Linked DNA regions of Saccharomyces cerevisiae S288C. The protein of the gene in region 1 binds, or shares a complex with, the protein of each later gene. Each region holds a gene or a part of one and is shown on either strand. Other genes may lie near its edges. A codon is read from its position in the direction of its gene.

Region 1 (2,606 bases):
ACAAATACTACCTTTTATCCTGCTCTTCCTGCTCTCAGATATTAATGCCGAATTGTTTCATCTTGTCTGTGTAGAAGACCACACACGAAAATCCTGTGATTTTTCATTTTACTTATCATTAATCGAATGTATATCTATTTAATCTGCTTTTCTTGTCTAATAAATATATATGTAAAGTACGCTTTTTGTTGAAATTTTTTAAACCTTTGTTTATTTTTTTTTCTTCATTCCGTAACTCTTCTACCTTCTTTATTTACTTTCTAAAATCCAAATACAAAACATAAAAATAAATAAACACAGAGTAAATTCCCAAATTATTCCATCATTAAAAAATACGAGGCGCGTGTAAGTTACAGACAAGCGATCCCTATTCCATGCAAGTTCGGTAAGTAGCAGAAATAATCAAACTGTTTAAACCCAATTAAAATTAAATTAAATACCCTTTATATGTTTATAATTGTACATATTTCTCCTAAACCCGCTATAATACACTCATATTTGTAGAAGAAAAACCGGGCAGTTGAATACGAATCCCAAATATTTGCTTGTTGTTACCGTTTTCTTAGAATTAGCTAAATTAACCACCGAAACCGTATAAGGTTCTACCTTGTCTCTTCAAAGCATAAACAACATCCAAAGAAGTAACAGTCTTTCTCTTGGCGTGTTCGGTGTAGGTAACAGAGTCTCTGATGACGGATTCCAAGAAGGATTTCAAGACAGCTCTGACTTCTTCGTAGATCAAACCAGAAATACGCTTGACACCACCTCTTCTAGCTAATCTTCTGATAGCTGGCTTAGTAATACCTTGGATGTTATCTCTTAGAATCTTTCTGTGACGCTTGGCACCACCTTTACCTAGACCTTTACCACCTTTACCTCTACCGGACATATTTTACTATATTATATTTGTTGCTTGTTTTTGTTTGTTGCTTTAGTACTATAGAGTACAATAATGCGACGGAAACCATCATATAGAAAAAATATCTCGGTATTTATAGGAAAAAGAATTAGACCTTTTCCACAACCAATTTATCCATCAAATTGGTCTTTACCCAATGAATGGGGAAGGGGGGGTGGCAATTTACCACCGTATTCGCGGGCATTTGCTAAAGTAAACAACTTCGGTTTTTACCACTAACCATTATGGGGAGAAGCGCTCGGAACAGTTTTACTATGTGAAGATGCGAAGTTTTCAGAACGCGGTTTCCAAATTCGGCGGGGAGATACAAAAAAGATTTTTGCTCTCGTTCTCACATTTTCGCATTGTCCCATACATTATCGTTCTCACAATTTCTCACATTTCCTTGCTCTGCACCTTTGCGATCCTGGCCGTAATATCTCTCCTTGACTTTTAGCGTGGAAGATAACGAAATGCCCGGGCGATTTTTCTTTTTGGTACCCTCCACGGCTCCTTGTTGAAATACATATATAAAAGACTGTGTATTCTTCGGGATACATCTCTTTCCTCAACCTTTTATATTCTTTCTTTCTAGTTAATAAGAAAAACATCTAACATAAATATATAAACGCAAACAATGGCCAGAACAAAGCAAACAGCAAGAAAGTCCACTGGTGGTAAGGCCCCAAGAAAGCAATTAGCTTCTAAGGCTGCCAGAAAATCCGCCCCATCTACCGGTGGTGTTAAGAAGCCTCACAGATATAAGCCAGGTACTGTTGCTTTGAGAGAAATCAGAAGATTCCAAAAATCTACTGAACTGTTGATCAGAAAGTTGCCTTTCCAAAGATTGGTCAGAGAAATCGCTCAAGATTTCAAGACCGACTTGAGATTTCAATCTTCTGCCATCGGTGCCTTGCAAGAATCTGTCGAAGCCTACTTAGTCTCTTTATTTGAAGATACCAACTTGGCTGCCATTCACGCCAAGCGTGTCACTATCCAAAAGAAGGATATCAAGTTGGCTAGAAGATTAAGAGGTGAAAGATCATAGTTTGTTGATTGTCATCAGTTTTAGTAAAAAACGAACAAAAACACAATAAAATATAAATCAATATATTTAGGTTTACTGGGTTCTTTAACAGTTGTATAATAGTTATTTTTTATTACAAAAATATAGGTTTTAATAAAAAAAAATAGGGTTCTATTTGTTTTACATTTATTGATTTGTTTTTCCTGGCGATACCCTCGAAAAAAGCCAGGCCTTGTAGGAGGCAAGATTTATGGCTTTCCATGTGGTTAAAGAAAAATTGCAGCAGGAAGATATTCATTCATGAGTCAGTTATATAATCGATATATAGCTACATATTAAACAACTTGAAGCCGCATACGTGGTAGGTGTCTCATTTTCAATTCAAAATATTTTAAACAGAACCGGAGATGAAGAACCACTTGTCAATAGACTTGTCAATTGGAGCATCTGCCTTTGGAGAAGCTGGTGGGATGGCATCAGAGGCAGCCTTGGAGTAGGTTGGGGTGTCAGGCAAAGTAACATTGGTCAAATCAATACCCTTGCTGTCAGAAGACTTACCAGCAATTAATTGTTTCCAGGAGTCATGTGTTTCCTTGATGATATCCAAAGCGTACTTCTTGTTCTTAGCTTCACCGGAGAAGGCAAATTGGTTTTCTGGCTTACCATCTGGGATTTTGTAAA
Region 2 (3,760 bases), on another chromosome or scaffold:
CTAACATGAAATCGCTAACTTTGACTTTAATCTTAGAAGGGTCCACCAAGAGTTTATCATTTGACCTATAAATTTGAGGAAAGCTTCTTTGTATACTTATTAGTGCAGCCTCAGTGCATAGGGACCTCAGATCAGCACCACCATATCCTTTGGTCAAAAAAGCCAATTTATCAATGAAGTTGGTTGACAACGGTGAACTCCATTTCCTGGTCTGAATTTGCAAAATTTTAAAACGTGCTTTAACATCAGGTAATGGAAAATAAAATTCTCTATCAAATCTTCCCGGCCTTCTTAATGCGGGATCCACTGCATCGGGTCGATTTGTGGCTCCGATGACAATGACTTGGCCTCTATTGTCCATACCATCCATCAGCGCTAATAATGTGGAAACAATACTAGCATGGATCTGTTCTTGTTTGGAACTTCTCACAGGCGCTAATCCGTCGATTTCATCAAAAAAAATGATGGAAGGTTGATGTTTTTTAGCTTCTTCGAATAACAAACGGAGTTGTCTTTCAGCTTCACCAACCCACTTGGATAAAATATCTGCACCTTTACGCATAAAAAATGTGATCTTCCTTTCATCAGAAGAACAACTTGCTGCTAACGCTCTTGCCATAAGTGTTTTACCCGTACCAGGAGGACCATGGAAAAGAACACCCCTTGGGGGCGTGATATTAAAATTTTGATACAATTCTGGGTATAATAGTGGTAAGGCCACCATTTCCTTTAATTGGTCAATGTAGTTGTCTAAACCACCTATATCGTCAAAATTTACATTCATGTCTACGCCTAATGGATCGAGGTCTGCAATTTCTGGTTTTTTCTTCTTCTTTTTTTGCGTGTTCTCTTTCTTTGTTTTCGGTGTCACGCCAAGAGGTAATATCTCATCATCGGAAGAGTCTGAATCCAGTATTAATTTATTGTTGTTATTATCACTGAATGCAGATGGGACTTGGTTGTAAAAATTAGTATTCTTACCAAATATTGTAGTTACGTCATTGCCACCAAAAGGTCCACCAGTGGGAAAAAGCCTTCTTGTGGGACCAGAATTTTGACTAGCATTCCAACCACCGCGACCACGCCGTGCAGGTGATGGGTTATGAAAAGAAAGTGCATTGTTATTCTTATCTATAAATTCTTCTGCGTTGCTAGCAGTTAGTGGTGGTGGTAATTTGTAATTTACCGGCTTAGTTCTTTCGCGAAGAAATCTTTTTTCCCTGATAGGACTATCTTCCTGTAACTCTCTAATTTCATCAGCTAAAGTTAACGCTTCATTCCTGCTATTATCATTCTCATCGTCATTTTCTTCATTTGAAGTACGCGAATGTCTTGTCCTACTTCTTAAAGCTCTTCTTACCGGTGGTGGAGTTTCTGGGTGACGTGACGATCTTGTTCTTCGAGAATTTGCCCTTTTCAAACGTTTAGAAGAAGCCGAATGGCTTATTCTGTCTCCTTCTTCGTCATCCTCATCGTATTCTTCATCGTCATCAGGGTCTGGTACTACAAATTTCCTATCGGCCGCTCTGCGCCGACGGTTGTTATCCTTCGAGTCTTCATCCAAATACTCATCTTCAAATTCGTCTGCTTCTTCCTCCTCTTCATCATCGTCGACATCTTCCTCATGAAAACTTTCGTCATCTTCTTCTGGATCATGCGCTTTTCTTTTTCTCAAGTTCCTTTCATTAGTAAGCTCTTCGTTCGTTCTGGCGTTTTCGTGCGGTGATACAAGATCAACATCATCGTCTTCATCATCGCCTTTCTGGTTGTTGTTATGATGTTCATCACTAGTAACATCAACGGGCGTCTCATCTTTGTCCATGACCTGGTCATCTTCCAAAAAATCAAACACTTTCTCAATTTCTGCGTAGTTTATTTTTCTCAAAGAGCGAGTTGTTGTATGGATTATGCCATTTTCGTCTTTAATCTGTGTTTCATACCCAACCTTTGCGTTGCTTGCATCTTCAACGTCGCTACCGCGTCTATTCCTTAAATTTCGTGCCATGTTCTTTCTGCACCAATTGTGAATAAATAGCGAGAAGAGAGAAATAGACCGTGGTAACTTCTTTTTATGACTGTCGAAAACAACAATGGGTTAGTAAGGAGTACGCAAGATCCTTCAGACGTTTTGCTTTATTTAAGACCCTACGCAGTTCCTTTTCTGCTCCTTTTCGTCCCAATATTGCTCTTTCGCTACCACTTTGTCCTTTTTCGCACACATGGCCGTACAAAATAACAGACGGTACGTTTTTAGTGATAATAAACAAGTTTATAGAGGCAGAAAAAAATTCCTCAGCGGCTAATGCCTCAACAAGTTCAGCTGCAAACGATGAAAAGACGCACACAAAAGCGAATAGAAATAACCGATCACCACAGTTCCTCTTTAAAACATCTCAAACTCAGCATTAACTTTCAAATCAATCCAGTGAAAGTATGCTTGGTTTGACACTTCACTGCCATTTCCTCCTGCCTGCCTATCTGATGCTTTGCCACCACAAGAGTGTTTTCCCTATGGCTTAATCGCTTTTTTCCATTTATTTTTCTCTTTCCCCCTTTTAATAGAGGGAAGAGAGCAGAACATACAAACATATCATTTTCTACGGTATAGCCTCCGCCTCCATCTTTAATAGTGACACTTCCATCAAGGGAATAAAGAGGCTTCAAGTCAAGAACTAAGCAGTCCCAAAAAATACCCATAAAACGAGTATAAACCATACTGTTATGTCTAAAGACACGCATGATGATGAACTGCCGAGCTACGAGGACGTAATCAAGGAAGAGGAGAGATTGCAATCTCAACCGCCACGACCACCAAGACCAGCAGCTAACTTGGCGCAAGGGCACCAATCAAGACCCCACCAAAGGCCCTCGACAATGCCAGCAACGTCCTCATCCCAAACATATGCTCACTCACACTCTTATACGCCTACAAGTTCCCAACCACGGCCTCCACCGAGGCCACAACAGAATCCTAGCTTGCCCTGGACATACCCTCCCAGGTTTTACTGTTCCAAGTGTGGAAATACGGGTTACAAGTTGAAGAATGGACGATCTTGCAAGTCGTGTTGGAGGAGGTTTGCACCTCAAAATAACGTTGTTTCTGCACCGACATATTACACAAACTATACAATGCCCGTGTACACCAACGCATGGCAGGGTAATAGGCCCTTGTACGTTCAACCAGGGGATCCTCGCCTGGGTGGCGTGCTATGTGGTGAATGCAGAGGGTCCGGACGCACCAGATTCCTGTTGGACGAAGATATATGTCCTCTTTGTCATGGTGTAGGCAGAATTATCACCCAGCCTCAACGCTATTAGCGCATGAAAATTTAGGATTTGGATGACCCGGTACGGCCTTAGTAGAAAAGCTGTGTCGCTCACCGAAAAGAAAAAAGACCGAACAACTGTAGGATGAAAAGCATATTTTAATGCTCCTAATTTTCAAACATGTCTATTACATACTTATCACATAATCCGACTGATTTGCCCTTCTTTAACTTCTTTCATTTATTTTTACGGTGCCAACCGTCTGATCGATATAGCATCCGTTCATAAAATATTATACGACTCCATCCTCAATCGTGATTGTGCGTGCGTGACTCATTTTTTGTTAGAACCAATACTTTCAATCATCCCAAAATGCATAACATCCAATTAGTGCAAGAGATAGAAAGACATGAAACCCCGTTAAACATTAGACCTACCTCTCCATACACTTTAAACCCTCCTGTCGAGAGAGATGGGTTTTCTTGGCCAAGTG

What was found.
Region 2: the proteins of HHT1 (region 1) and YTA7 are in contact, whole or in part, in a cryo-EM structure (PDB 7UQJ), measured with the Saccharomyces cerevisiae proteins. Residues at the interface, in NP_009564.1 of Saccharomyces cerevisiae: Lys10 (codon at 1,563), Thr12 (codon at 1,569), Gly13 (codon at 1,572), Lys15 (codon at 1,578), Ala16 (codon at 1,581), Pro17 (codon at 1,584); in NP_011786.1 of Saccharomyces cerevisiae: Ser490 (codon at 538), Lys491 (codon at 535), Trp492 (codon at 532), Val493 (codon at 529), Lys530 (codon at 418), Gln531 (codon at 415), Glu532 (codon at 412), Ile534 (codon at 406).

The regions. Positions count from the first base shown.
Region 1 is NC_001134.8:254,796-257,401, forward strand, and holds HHT1 (histone H3), read left to right. Parts: upstream 1-1,535; coding exon 1,536-1,946; downstream 1,947-2,606. Other genes in the region: HHF1 (histone H4), read right to left, coding at 578-889; inorganic diphosphatase IPP1, read right to left, coding at 2,317-2,606. UniProt on the Saccharomyces cerevisiae protein: Core component of nucleosome. Nucleosomes wrap and compact DNA into chromatin, limiting DNA accessibility to the cellular machineries which require DNA as a template.
Region 2 is NC_001139.9:1,025,615-1,029,374, reverse strand, and holds the start of YTA7 (chromatin segregase YTA7), read right to left. Parts: upstream 2,006-3,760; coding exon 1-2,005. Other genes in the region: HUA1 (Hua1p), read left to right, coding at 2,722-3,318; FOL2 (GTP cyclohydrolase I), read left to right, coding at 3,640-3,760. UniProt on the Saccharomyces cerevisiae protein: Functions as an ATP-dependent nucleosome disassembly factor that helps evict canonical histone H3 from the 5'-end of genes upon their induction.